Astyanax mexicanus: one gene and its partner. The protein of the gene in region 2 interacts with the protein of the main gene of each other region in a pairwise test. Links are inferred from orthologs where the notes say so. Each region holds a gene or a part of one and is shown on either strand. Other genes may lie near its edges.

Evidence for each region. The genes of interacting proteins can lie anywhere in the genome.
Region 1: the proteins of arl16 (region 2) and pde6d interact in binary tests that used the Homo sapiens proteins (3 or more experiments, as listed by UniProt). The two-hybrid records come from large-scale screens. The link is inferred for Astyanax mexicanus from reciprocal best matches to the Homo sapiens genes ARL16 and PDE6D.

What each region holds. Positions count from the first base shown.
Region 1 is NC_064412.1:25,061,281-25,069,059, forward strand, and holds the start of pde6d (retinal rod rhodopsin-sensitive cGMP 3',5'-cyclic phosphodiesterase subunit delta), read left to right. Parts: upstream 1-4,757; 5' UTR 4,758-4,979; coding exon 4,980-5,029; intron 5,030-7,779. UniProt on the Homo sapiens protein: Promotes the release of prenylated target proteins from cellular membranes. Modulates the activity of prenylated or palmitoylated Ras family members by regulating their subcellular location.
Region 2 is NC_064410.1:5,270,997-5,278,803, forward strand, and holds the start of arl16 (ADP-ribosylation factor-like protein 16), read left to right. Parts: upstream 1-4,801; 5' UTR 4,802-5,019; coding exon 5,020-5,080; intron 5,081-5,318; coding exon 5,319-5,374; intron 5,375-6,418; coding exon 6,419-6,535; intron 6,536-6,816; coding exon 6,817-6,932; intron 6,933-7,057; coding exon 7,058-7,223; 3' UTR 7,224-7,807. UniProt on the Homo sapiens protein: May suppress the RNA sensing activity of RIGI in a GTP-dependent.

The DNA.
Region 1 (7,779 bases), on a different chromosome or scaffold from region 2:
AGAGGCAGGGCATGGGGAAAGCTGATTGGCTGAGCTGCAGCAGCAGCAGTGTGCCTCTGATGAGGCGCAAATGGTTGGACGTCAGCAGGGGGGGCGGTATTATTGATTGACTGATCTGCATATTGTATGTGTCTGCATACCAAAATACTCAGACACATCATCTACACCTATCACAGTTGAATCTGAGAGGGTGCTGCAGAGGCAGAAATTACCACAATAAAGGCATTTAAGCAGGACAGGTATGTTGCATTACTTCAAAGAAACACATTTTAGCTTTTAATGAAAAAATATGATTTAGGGTTTAGTGTCTCTTTAACCCTCCTCTCTTGCTGTTGTGAGGAAATTTAACATAATCTTTAATATTGAAAGAGCAATCCAAGAACCAAAAACAAATGTACATAAATAACACAGATTAGAACTCAGGTGATAAAGAGTGGGAGAGCTGTCCAAGAACGACTAATGGGGAGCATACAACAGTGACAAGATGTTAAGAACCAGAAGGTGTAATGGTACCCCCAGTGTGGCCAAGGAATGAAGACAACCTTGTGGACCACCACCCACTTTTCCAAAAGCATCTTAACTTGACCAACCAGAGCTGTTGTTGCACTGGACTGAAGATAGTGAAGTTATCAGGGATGATCTCTGGCTTGGACACAACTGTAACCAGTGAAAGGATAAGGCAGACAATGCCTGATGTGACCTCTAGGTCAGGGAGTGCGTTTCTAATGCTTACACAACCCTGGATGTAGGACATTCTTTGCAGGAAACCTGGATCCTTTCCAGCTCTGTTTCTTTAGACCAAAGCCCTTCCAGTTGACCATATATTATACCCCGTTCCTCCTGAAAGAGCATAGCCTCACCCAGTGGCACTGGGAAAAATAAATTGAAGAGAGAGGCTCAACTTTGTTTAGACATTTATTAGACACTTGAACTTGTATAGGAATATTAAGCTTATTATGTTAACTAACACTTTGAACAATCTTAATTGGACCAATAGTCTACTTCAGTCCAAAGTAAATATTATGCCCAATTATTGTTCATGACAACAATTTACATCAACAATTTATCTAGCACCTGATTTATTCTCCTGCACTGACTGTTTGATTAAGGGTGATATCAGAAGTTAGAGTGATCATAACACTTTTAAACAAAGCCATTTAAAGAATTAAGACCAGACATGACTATACAAACCTGTATATTAAGGACTACAATCAGATGCAATGCCTTCCCCGAAAAACACAATATAATTAAGAATACTTTCAGCAGTTGGAATAATGGAATAAATCTGTTAGAATTGCAGTGTATTCTTGCACAGGGGTAAATCAGTCTACTGCTACATGTAACAGAGATGAACCAGAGATGAATCAAGAGTTCCCCTGTATTAACTTACATTTCTCACCCTATATTGCATGATACAAGTACTATAAATGAAAAAAAGACACTACACAGTTGTTCTAAAGGTATTGATTGCGGCTCCAATGACCATAGCCTTCATTCACCAATTATCATTCAAAGAATTTAATATTTTGAGTTTATACCGTCAGAAATACTGTATTTTTACTAGAAATTTTCTGATTTAAGATTGTAGAAATGTACCCAGATCTGTCTGACATAACTGACTCTAACTAAAAATGCTATTTACACTTTTTATGCTTAATATTCTTTTAAACTAAATCTAGCAATGCCTAACCCAATATCTGGTACTTTATATTAGGATTACACAGAACTGGAGGTATGGAGTCTCTAGTGATATGATCTTATAGGATCACTTGTTTTTGTATTTCTTCTTCACTTGAACTCCCTAAATCTGGTTCCTGGTTCTTAAATCTCAAACAAAACTGTCTACGTTATCCAGTTTATGCCAATAAAGCAGCACTTTTTCCATTAATCTAATCTAATATGATCTAATAAAATGCATTTTTTCCACTTAGAAAAAATCATTGATAGGGCTTTTAATGAATCTCATTTCTTCTGTTTCTTAAGACAAATTGCCTTTTCACTGATTCTGTCCTGAGATCATAAAAAATCATCAAGCTTGTTTGGCTGCTTTTTGAGGTTTTTTGTAATGGTCTCTCTCTTGTAACAGCTGCTCTGACCACACACTGATAGACACGGTGCCAAACGGTATTTTCTACAGAACTTAGAATCGCATGTAGATGTACAAGGACAGCCTTTTTTTATTTTAACTGAGATACATTTTGTAAAACAAAAAAGAAATAATTTGTTTTAATAAAATGTTTTTTTTTGCTGAGAATGTGTTTTTGCACCCAGCATGCTCAAAAGTATCAAGGGCTTTATTATATCAAGGTCTCGTTCTCTTTTAGCTCACCAGCATTCTTTAATTTTAAATTTTAATGATGTGTGAATAAGCAGATAAAGACTAAGTTTGCTGTTCTGATATCTTCATGTTGGCAGTAGATCTCGAATCAATGTCATTAGCAGCACCGTTGTTACACAAGTAATCAGCAAAAGCTGTCATGGTAAGAATAAATTCTGGAAAGACCTACCAGAAGCTGTTTTAGAATAAATATGTTTGATTCCATTTATTAGAATATTTTGTCTCCTCTTTACTCAGGAAAACTTATTTTTTTAACAGTTAAGGTGTATAAAGTGTTATTTGGACAAGTACCATAGAATAAACCATGTAGTTCTTTAGAGCATCAATACATTTAATTGTCATTTTAAGGACAACTGTAAACCTTTTAATAAAGTTTAAATGTCACGGAAATGAAAAAAAAAAAGCTTTCAGAATCCCTTTAATAAGAGTAATTTAGAGTAATTTAATAAAACTATTTAGGACTCATTTATTTACTCAGCATAAACCTACAGATGAAAGAAAGTGAAGAGTGTTCTTCAGCACTGCTTTAGACATTTATTTATTCATGCATTTTTACCTTTCAGGTTCCTTTATAGTTCTCAGTTTACACACAGTTTTTATGCAAAGGAGCTTGTCTGCCCGTGTTAAATCAACACTGTAAGCATTAGAATTTGACTAGATAAATGTTAATTTAACACAACAGTGTTGATTTATCCCTGGCAAATCTGCTGTGTTTTATGTTCTCTGAACACTGTCAAGAACAAAAATGCAAGCTTAGTTCATCATGAAAACTTGAGAATGTGTTAATCAATGGATTTGTTGAATTAGGTGTGTTTTAAGCCGGATATCACCAACCTGTGCAAACTCCAGGCCTAATCAGCCCAGCTGCAGGGTGGGACAAATACATATTAAACAAATGTGTGTACTTGAATGTATATGTAATGAATACGTGTACGAAAAATGCAGTGACCCTGAGGTAGCCTGTAGTCTGCAGGCCCAAATTGACTAAATAAAAAAAAGTATTTATGTCTAAATAGTATTTTTTTTCTCTTGTAATGCAGCACCACTCCATGGACATAATCTATTATTACAGGTCTGCAGTATTTGACATAAATGTATACAAGAACTCAGCCCACATCAGTACAGCTGTAGATTTTCAGAAGTTCCTATTTTTAAACAAAATTGTGTTGTATTTGTGGAGTGACCTTTTTACCATTGTCATGACAGATCATTGATCCATCAGCAAATATTGTCTGAGTCAATAACTGTGACAGACAGATTGTTCAGTGTCACATTTATAAGCACACACTTTTGTGTTTACATAAATATTTGAGTCTTTGCATGTTTAATTTCAGTTAGGTCAGGTGACCGTGATGATTAGTTCTGGATCACAAACTCCACTCCATCTCATCCTAAAGATATTGGATGGGGAGCTCCAGCATGGTTCCACCGCTCAACATTCCAACAAAGGAAGGGATGAAGGTAGAAGGTTGTATAAGTTTAAGTGGGTCCTTTTAAGAAAATCCCCAAAAGATCCCAAAAATTTTGACTGTTAACATAAACAAAATCCAGCTTAAAACCAGCTGGTCATCAAGAGAAAAAACATAGACTATGCTGGTAGACTATCTCCTTGACTAGCATAACCAGGGTATGTATTTTTTAAGCTTTTTTTTTTTTTAGAAGGGTTTACTTTATTAACATTGACCACAAATGTCTTATGTTTGTGCATACCCTGATATTATACAACATTAAATAAAGGTTATTTTTATACATTTAATTTTTTTAAGGTTGATGATGGAAAAAAACAACCTTTATTTGACATTTCCCTATGTCCATCAGTTAATGCGGAAATTCTGACACTGATTCAACTTTCATTTAAAGGTTTTGAATGGTTGGAGCTCTGTATCTACATTTACTTTTAGGTGAAGTGTGCTTTACACAAATAATAATATTAATACTAAAATAATTATTATTTAAATGTGTCTTTTTATTGTGCAAGACCACAGTACTGATTATAGGAACAGAATACAAACAAGATACACATATGTAATGTAATTAAAATTTAATACAAACCATATATATAAAACCATAACATTTAGTCGAGATCTTTAGTCGTAAAATCGAGATTAACGTTGTTTCAGTGCATTAGCGATGGAAAGTTAACGCAAATTTAACGTTTGGTCGTATTCTGCTTCAGCCATCACTTCCAGACCCAGGCGAACTGTGTAACTGATAACACAGCTCCGCTTGATCCACTCGAGACGCCGTAGCTCGCATCCAAAGGACCTTTCTAGTTGCCATCGGTGACGCGTCCCTTGTCAACCAATCAAGCCCCGCCCCAAGTGCCGCATTCTTCATCCTGATTGGTCCGTTTGTGTAGTTTCGTCTGAGACGCGCACGGTAGTAGGGCGATTCTGCTGTCAATCAATCTCCGCCGAAAATCTATTTACAGTAGGCTGGAGGAGCAGCAGCCGAGGCGAATCTGTTCAGATTAAAAGCAGCGCTGTGTGTTGTAAAGTGTGGTATTCCGCTAGCCAGTTCACCTAATAACCAGGTTAACCCGCTACAGCGAGTCGAATATTTTAGCTAGTGGACTGCTGCTTTCTGTTCTGTTTTATTTTTTTTATTTTTCCATTCAGTGAATCGGACGATTTTCGGAACGATGTCTTCGGATGAAGACAGGGCGAAGGAGATCCTGAAGGGCTTTAAACTGTATCCTTTAAACTTGAGGCAACAGCGCCAGATTAGCCTTCAGCTTCCAGAATAACATTCAGTGACCAGATTAACACTGTTTAGCTAAACGTTTCATTTCGTTTAAGAAATGAAGCGTGTTTTCTTATCTAACGTTTTTTAGCCATAGAACCTAAGCTAGCTGGTTATAGCGATGCTTTTCCGTTAGCAGGATTAGAGAGCCGAGTAACTAACGTTTGCAAGGTAGCTGGCTAATAATTAGCTAGCGTTAGCAATCTTAGTTAACTAACTATAACTAACTGTATAGCTAGCCAAAATTTGTTTTTATATTTTTATTCTTAATCGGCAGCGAATAACCAGTGTTAATACTTAACCTATTATCACAGCCAATTTAAGCCTTTTTAATTTTGTAGTGTGCAGCTACTAATTTATTTTAAATATTGGTGATAGCTGTACATAATATTTTTTTAATTCTATAACCATTAGCTAACTTAGTTAACCTAGCTATCTGTTAAAGAAAGTGTGTTATAGCTAGTTAGCTAACTCATAATTTTAACAAACTTTATATTCTTTATTATGGCTTATTATTATATATTTTATTACTTTTTGTATTATTATTGTAATTGTATTTAAAACGAAAGTTTATGTCTTTGCAGCAGCATGCTAGCACACTAACTTATATTCTATGTAAGGCTAGCTAGCTTTACTGGCACCAGGTCTATTTTGCAGATAAGAGTACATTAGTTTGTTAGGCTGGCTAAACTAGGTTAGCTAACTAGTTTATCAGACTAGTAGTACCGGTGAGTAGTAGTACTGTTTGTATAAATTAGCTAACAGCTAGTTAGGTTAGCTAGCTAATGTATAACTTTCGTTACCAACTGATAAGTGCAATATATATAAAAGTACACTAGACGTCTTTTTTTTGTGGTTTACAAATTGCCCAGTTTCCTAACGTTACTGATTGATGTTACAGGGGGTGTTACGTGTGGTAACCTGGTAGTGAGGTGTTACAGTCAATCTTTAGCTTTTAGTAAACTGATAATTTGTTCTGTTTTGCGGGATATTTCCATATATGTCTGTAGGCGTGCAGAATGTCAGCTATAAATCACGTATTTAAATTGCTTTTGTTTTTTGAGCTAGGGCTACTTGGTCTGCATCTTTATTACACTACACTTCCTTCACAGTGTAATCTAAAATGTTGCTCAAATCTGATTTTTCACTAGTTTATTTAAATGCAGACATGTCTGACAGGCTCCAGACTGTGTAGCAGGTCATATTTAGGAAGATTTTAGGAGGTTGCTAGATGTTTGTGGGATCAAAGTGCATTAACTAGTGAAATGACCCCACTGTAAGAGTGTCTCTGCTGGCTACTTGGTTTACATAACGTTGCCTGCTGCTCCTAAAATTGGCTCAGTAAGTCCGACAAGAATAATCACACCTGCACAGCCTACCGCCATACTGTAGCCGTCACGAAGGGTAGGTTGGATTCATTTAACCTGTTGAAAGGGCCTGTAGAGGTATCCTGATGTGGCATTGTGTTTTTTTAGAGTCATTTGCTGATGTTGTAATTTGCAGTTGATTATGAGTGTGACCTTCTTTGGGAAGGTAAGGGTGTATCTTACAGGCTGGTAATTCTTAAATCCTTTATTTGCAAGGGCAGGGATTTGCCTTATGCTACTCGCATCCCTGCCTGTGCCGGGTGGTTCTCAAAGTCTCATTACAGTAATGGCTTTAAATCTTTCAAATATTTGCCTTACCTATAGACATATTTATAGAAGGCTAATTAATGTCATATTTGTGTAGGTTATAACTTAGTAATGGAAGCTTAATGAGCTTTAGATATCAAACCAGTCAAAGCCAGCAAGAATTCATACTAGTGTCAGGAGTCTTTTTGTTATTTTTTTGCTGTATTTAAATACCTACATGATTACTCTAAATGGTAATACATCTGTTTCTTAATTATTGTAAATTGCCAACACTGTAAAATGAATGTTAATGTATAATAATCAACTCTGCTGTAGCTACACTGCCTAAACGTAACACTGAATCCCCTTGTGGCTTTAAATGTGCTGTAAATTGTAAACAATTATCCCAATATCTAATATCTAAGTGGGCCTGTTTGTTTGGAATATTGTACTGTTTTGTATCTGTGATTCTCTGGCTGTGAGCCTCAGGGGTGAATGCAGTGCATAAAGTAGCCTCCCTTTGGAGAAGCACCAAAGCACACATGCTCATGAGGATATAAGTGCACACACCCCCAGAGCCAAGACCAGTGCTCACTGTGTAGAGACTTTTCCTTAATGTATCTTAAGTGTGTGAAAACATAGATATGTTAAAAACTAATATGTGGGAATTAGTATTCAGATGCAGATGGATACCATTCAAACTCCCTATTCAAACTTTTCTTTTTTGGTTTGATTTAGGTTAGAACATCTCACTGGAAACTGCCACTGAATGATCAGAGACAGTCTACTGACATTTAGAACGTTTTTTTAAGCTGGTACCTTATTTTTTTGCAAGGCCAACACCGAATTGCAAATGGCAGATTTGAAACAGTGGGTAACATTTTAAAAATGCATGTGACTTCCGTAAAAGCAGTGTAGCCTTGGGACTAATTAGCATGACTGTGTCATTGTTTGTGAGTTAAAGGGTTTCTCCCCTGCGACTCTCACTGTGCATCACTGGTATACACAGCTGGTGTGATCCTGAAGACACCTGTCACCACTAATCTCTAGTGCTATGGCCCAATCCATCATCAACGGACCCAGTTA
Region 2 (7,807 bases):
GTTTAAATATCTATATGTACAAGGGCTGCACTATATTGGAAAAATGTTATGTTGCAAATGTTCTTTTTTTGATAATATATATATATATATATATATATTGCGATATTAAACAATGCAGGGCCCATGACGTCAACAGCTCCGCCCCCACCCACGTGCTGTCTCGCGCCTGGACCGATTAAGAGCTGAGTCAGTGCCGAGCACTCAAAACCCGAGGAAAACAGCAAAACAACAGTAATCGGCCCTTTAATAAGGCTTTTAATGGCTTTTTAAAAGGTAAATAAGCGTTTTTTGGGATTAACGCACGTGCCTAACCATGTGGATGGAGGCCATGCAGTTACCTTGCGTTTACTCCTGCCCCTCCCTCTTCCACTTCTCAGGCAGCAGCAGCCTGTCACTCACACAGACACAGAGACAGTGCTGTGTATCTACTTCTTGTGTCAAAGAATCAAAGAATCAAAACATTGCAACATGGCGTGTTTGATGTAATTGCATGTCCTGCGAATGTGACTACTGCACATGTGCACATCGCGATGACGATGCTTAAACGGGCAGCCCTAATATGTACATCTATAAAGTGCGGCAGGAATGCATTAATGCAGGGTTTAATTGCAGTCTCCTTCCTCCTGACAAGTAGGCAGTTAGGCAGTAGCGCCACCCCAGAGCTCTGAAGCCATACACATTAACAGAAAGACACATTTTCTCAGAATTTTAGAATTGTGTTGTTATGTAGTGTAATTTTACAGCTCTAGAACTGCTGCTCATCAAGAAAGCTAAGTCCAGCTTCCAAAATTTACGCTGTATTTACAAGAAGTGTTTTAGTTCAGCCAATCAGAACAGAATATCAGTCTTAAAGGCACAGCAGCTCTTTGACAGCCTGTTAAATTCTAAAACTGCTTTGCTTGATGCAACCGATGTGTTTTTTGTAACTTATTAATGTAAACATAGGCATAGAAATGGTCAGGGACAAGGCATAATAATAGACTATGTTTTTCTTTTTAATGAAAACTCTCCATTCAAAATATTATGTAGGCCAAGATTAGGCTTAATCCTTAGGAAAGTGGTCCTGGTCCTAAAGGTTTACACTAGACTATATTCAGTATATTACAACTGGCTACAGCGTAGAAAATAATTGTGTACAGATTATCCCTAAATGCTTTGGCTACACAAATATAAATGTCGTATGTGCGCTTATTGGGAAAAGTACATAAAACAGAAATGCAGGGAATGCATATGATCCAGTTTCTGCTGGATTATTTAATATGAATGAATCACAATAATTATAAAGCACAGCTGGTGTTTTCAAATAGTGTTAAAAACAAGTTACATGGCTTTGAGGTGACAGCAGTGATAATTATAACCAATTGTGTTTTACATTATACCAGTAATGTACATCTACTGTACACACACACATACACACACACACACACACACACACACACACAAACACACACTCAGGAAAGCGTGTTGATGGATTTAAAAAAGTCTATTGTGTTTTTCTGCCCGTGTCAGGGTTTGCCTCATTCTGTTTCCTCAAACGCAATTGTCTGCGCGCTGACCAGAGTAATGCTGTAACACACACATACACACACACGCATTTTTATTTTGCAATACCTCTACAATACTATAATCATAGAATAATTAAAAAAATCATTCAATACAAGACCAATACAGTCATCTCTCCTTCACTTCACTTTTCCATCTTTTTCTCTGCTTTTATGAAACACACACACACACACACACACACACACATTTAGAACTCTCATTAGTTGTGTCTTCACTCCACATTCGCAACAATAGCACATAGTTCCTGTTCCCCTGGCGGACGCCTGCTATTTACACAAGTGTCTCTGGACTGTCTGCTCTGTATATACAGCAGCATGCAAAAGTTTAGGCACCCCTGCTCAGAAATTCTGTTCCTGTAAAGAGTTAAATGAGTAATGGATGTCCTAATTTCCAAAAGGCAAATCATTTCTTTAAAAATGTAGTAATTATATGCTTACAGTAGATTAAGGAAGTCCCGTCAGTAATGCACTGCAAAAGACAAATGCATGAATCAGTTTCTCTGCATCATCTAACTAAAAATAGGAAAATAGGATCTCGCTCCTGCGTTACTTCTTGAATAACACAAAGGACAGTCTCGATGATCTTATTAATATGTGGTATGAATGAAGAGTCACGCCATCTGATGTGACAGATATGTACAGCTGCGTGTCATCAGCATAATGATTAGTAATAATCTGATCCAGTGGCAGCATGTATGAGGAGAACAAGAGTGGGCCAAGGACAGAGCCTTGTGGTACACCACATGGAATATTATTCTCTTCTGAAAAATCTTCAACCAATAGTAATAAAAACTTCCTTCCAGCCAAATATGTGAAAAAAAAAAACATTTTAAACTAGTTCCAGTTTGTTCCAGACTGACTATGTTTTTAAGACTTTTTAAAAGCGCACTACGATTAATTGAATCAAATGCAGCAGTTAAATCAAGAGGACCACATTTTCATAGAATGGACTGCACATGTTCTTCACTGCGGTTAACACTCCTCCGTCAGTGGTGGAAAAAGTCCCACAAGCACTCACTGATGTTAAAATCTGGTAATTGCGTTCCTATGATATCACCTGCATCTTCTCACTCCTCAAACCCCTCCTCTACCAATCAAGCACTGTCCTGGCACTGTTAACATATCAATTTATTTTTTTTATAAAAAAATTCTCCATCAAAAAAAGGGAAAAATTAATATCTTCAAACACTTCTAAATTAGCTGCTGAACATCAGAACATGACATCTGAATATACTCTGTATATAGCTGAAATGACAATAAAAACCACTTTGACTTTGACTTTGACTTTGAAGATGAGAACCAGTCTTATGATCAGCTAATTTTCACAACCACAACACGCTCAGAATAACACATACAAATGTGTGAAGAGGTATTTTATCCTTTTCGAAACTGAGCGCTTGTTTTTGTGCTCAGGCCATGAAGGCACTATATCAGTCAACCTGTTATTTAGAGTTCTCAATGGGTGTTGTCAGCAGAGACATGTGAAATAGAGGTCTGAGCAGAGCTGCTTTTTTCAACTCGCTGCTGCCCGCTCCTGCTTGTTTTAGTCCTGTGACTGACCGCTTCCGCCAAAAAAAATTGCTTGTTTTAATCCTGCTCCCGCCCACACACCTAATATGAATTAAATTAATGAAGTGAAGTGCTTTTATTTTTGTATTTATTTATTTAGGTATTTATTTAAACAGCAATATAGTGCTGGATTGCACTGTCCCATTTCTTACCACAGTCCAAACACATGCCGTCAGGTAAATTGTAGATGCTGAAATTGTGTCTTGAGGCTTTTTTGTTGATGTATTGGCTATTAACTTGACATTTATTAACTTTCCTTGAGTGCCAATCGTGTGTTTGTTAAACTCAGGATCGTTTTAGAATTACATTTCTTTGAGTTTTTTCTCAGTGCTGAATACATTGATCGAGATTTAAGCATCTTACTGATTAGTTGTTTTACCTTTGACCCACTCGTAAGTAATTAGGAACTACATTCAGGCAGGTTCTAGAAATTTAGAAGACTTGCCATTTGAGCATTTACATTAATAAAAAATAGCTTTCATTTTGAAGTGACAAAACATACTTATATATTGCGCTTTGTATTAGCAAGGTTTAAAATATATATATTTTATGCTATTTTTGTCGTGCTGTGGATATTTTACAAAAAAAATGGATGTAAAACATGTCCATATATGTCCATTATTGTCCATATAATATAATAAGCTTTGCGCTAAATAAATGAATTCAAATGAAATCCGTAGTTTACCTTGATTGAAGTGTCTGAGATGATCAGAGATATTAAATTATTAATTTATTAAATATTTATAACAAACATCAGCCTAGTGATATCTATGTGGTATAATATTGAGAAATGTAAATCAGTGATTCAGATTTATGACTGATGGTGTTTTTTTTCCAGGCGGAGCCAACAAAGAAGTGCTAAACAATCGTTTGTAACTTTGGAGACTAAGAAGGCTTTTGGGAAACAGACATAAAATTGTTTTTCTCAAAGTTCTGTTGTTCGTATATCACTAAAATCATTTGCTCTCGGGAAACGCACCCCTGGTCTGTTGGAGATGGAAGGTTTTTGCATGTCAATATTAACTGTTGAGAGTATAGTTTAATTTACTCCATTCTGCCTCTCAACTAGGGGGTTTGGCCGGATGGACCTTGGCTCTCCCTGTTACATATATAGGTCCATCATACTGCCAACACAAAGAAACATGAGGGACCAGGGGCCTAGAAGAAGACAACAGCACCGCTGCCTGGCAGAGGACCAGCATGCTTACAACACAGCAAACTAAATATTTTACATATGTTGTTCAACTAAGCAATGCACAATATAATGGTTTTGTTATCATATTTGTGCATTTTATTACTGTTACTAATTTCTTGTCTGAATTCTTTTTAAAAACTGTTGCTTTGTTGTTCTAAAAACTGCAAACAATGACGCTTGTTTTATTATTATCACTATTATTACATTTTATTATTATTATTATTATCACTATTATTATTTTTATTATTATTATTATTATTATTATTATATTTTATTATTATTATAATTTTATTATTATTATTGTGAAGAAAATTCAGACCTAAATTAACATATATTATATCAACAAATACTACAACTCAAATAATAGGTAGGCGTGGCAAGATTGAAAATGGATATTGAATGTTTTTTATATAATAAAATGTATATATATATATATAACACTCGCTGCGTATAATTTAGAATTTCTACTAATAGTAAACTAGCGTTTATTATAGCTGTTATTCTAGTCGTAGCACGCAGGTTAGATACTTTTATTTTGAAGGCGGATTAAGCCTACGTCGTCTTGGTAACCGGGTTTCTGGTGTAGCTAGATAGCTTTCTAGCTAACGTTATTTATGTATTATTGTACTCAAATGGTTCCTCGTTGGTTTTATAAACGTATAAACACATATAGCTAGCTTCATTAGATCAGTTATGTGTTTATTACTGGGAGCAACCGGCGTCGGAAAGACGCTGCTCCTGAAAAGACTACAGAATATCCTTTTAAAGGCGAACTGCGGTTAGCTAAGCTAACATTGGTTAGCTCGGTTTAAGTTACAGTAAAGGATGCTGGTTATCCCAGCGGTGGTTTATTTAGCTTGGTTGGCTGGTGGAGTGTAAATACAATATCTGTGTTATTTAGCTGCATACAACATTGTTTCTTTCAGTTTTTACCTGGTTAATTAAACCTAACTTTAATCTAGGGTGATTTTCTTTATCTGAGAGTAACTTACAGCTGTGCCAGCGGGACGGGACAGATTTAGGTGAACCACCGGTTACACTGCCAACGGTGAGCTGTAATATATTATTATTGATACTTAACTAGATATAGATAACGTTAAAAAGACAGAGTATGGTTTACTAAGTCAGTGTAAATTGGAAATGGGTTTTTATTTTCCCAATATTTTAAATTTTTGCTTCTTTTAACAAACATTTGATGGTATAATTCAAGTTTACAAGATGAAAATTGAAAATTAAGAAAACTGAAAAAAATCTTTCCTGAAATTCAGATTGTGGGACAGAAATTATAATAGATGAAAACAATAAGTTTTACACATGTTGTTTAAGACATGTAATGATATTCATGTTACACTGACTGTACTATTAAAATTAAATTTACGAATCAGATATCATTTAGTCTATTTCAAATTTAACTGATGTGTTCACTATACGCTGTCACTTTGATAAATACATATATACAGTGGTGTTTAAAGGTTTGTGAGTTTGTGAATAGAATTGACCTTATTTCTGCATAAATCTGACCTTGATTTTTAAATCAAATTCTCCAAAACAAAGAACATGAAAACGTATCTGGATCTGAAATGGACCGGAAAATGATCTGAAATGTTCAGATTTAATTATCAAAGTATCAAAAAGTAAACAAAAAAAAAGAGGACAAACCGCTGAATTTCAGTGTATATGTTGTGCCTGGCATCATTTGTTGTGGTATACTGAAGAATAAATTGGCTTTCATTCATTTTACAGTTTTTTTTATTTTGCCCTTCAATCAGAATGTCAGAAAAAATCTTTTTCTGAATTTCTCATAAATTATGTGCAAAATCTCATTATGTTCATTTTCCATTTAGTGTGGTACATAAGAAACAGGTTGTCATCCATTTTTTGGTTTATTTTTTGCCCCACAATTTGAATTTTAGCAAAAAACTAAAATCTTTACTTAATTTTCTGTATGTGGCACCTGGCGTTAGTGCATTTGTGCTTGTTGTGGTTACACCACCACATTATGACTCTTCATTAAATGTAGATTTTATTTTTTTATCTTACTTGATCTTGTTTATAAGCAAGTATTAATTTAATGTTTTTTTTTTCTGCACAGGTGGGTACAAACCTCACAGACCTGACGCTGAGGAAGAAGAGGGTGACAGTCAGAGAGTTAGGAGGCTGCATGGGCCCCATCTGGCCGAGCTACTTCGTAGACTGCTACTCTGTTATTGTGAGTTTTGAGAAAACATGATATTACTACAGATTATACAGTACTATAATCACACAAGTTACCTTTCCATTATAGAATGAGACATTTTATATTGTACAGCAAAATTAGGATTAATCATTTATTAACTTCGGACAGTAAAAAGCAGTTTTGAGATGCTGTGCAATTATCTTTATTGCTTGCATATTGAAAAACATGTACTAAAATCCTTGCCATTCAAACATTCCTAATGTCATTTGTAGAAATAATATTGTGCTGCAATAATATGGTGATGTCTTCTTCAGTTTATGGTGGACTCTGCCAACATCACACAGATTTCTTCATCCTGTGTCCAGCTGCTGTCCGTGCTCGCCGCAGAGCCACTTCAGACGGCATCTGTGCTCGTGCTGTTTAATAAGAGGTTGGAAGACTTCTGTACCTACCACAGGGTTTATAACGGTTGTGCTTCTGAAGTAAACTACTGTTTGTGTTCTCCTAACATTCTGGATTATCCTGGATTGTTTTTTTATGTCTGTGTTCTTCTAGGGACCTTCCATGCACCATGACTCTAGGGGAAATGAAATCACTTTTCAGGATGGATGACATCATTGCTTCTGCCCCTCAGTCAATCACAACTTTGGAGCTCAGTGCTCGCTCTGGTGAAGGCCTTCAGGATGTGCTTAACTGGCTGGACTCTTTGCAACCCTGCTGAACTGAACTGCATACATGTCTAAAAGGAAATAATGGTAGATACTTTCAGACAGAACACTGCCACCAGGCCGCATGAAGGTCTGGGTGAAGGATGATACATGGGAGACTAAAGCTCACATCATAGTCAGGATTGCTTGATGTGATGTTTATTAGCTTAGCTGATATTCTGATTCCTCTCTACAGAGAAGCTATGATCAGCTGTACTCCATGTTCATGCAGGTTTCAGGTTGTTGAGGGTAATGAGGAGATGGATTTTAGGCATACCATGCAGACTGTATGGCACAAGGTAGGAGCCACAACCAATCAGAAAAGCCTTTTGGTTTGATTCCTTTAGAGAAACATTTTAAACAGTTTTTTTTTAACCCAGGGTGATTACATTATATCTGTATTCCAAAGGCAGTCACACACTGGCATAATAATACCATGCCAAGAAGCAAATATATTCTGTTTCTATGTGTCAATTCAAGATTATTTATTATCTAATAAATTCAGTTTGATGATCAGTGAGTCATCATTCTTGTGAGCAAAATGTGATATCAATGAGCCATACAGAGCCAGTCTACTTGTAATGTTGCTTTAAACATA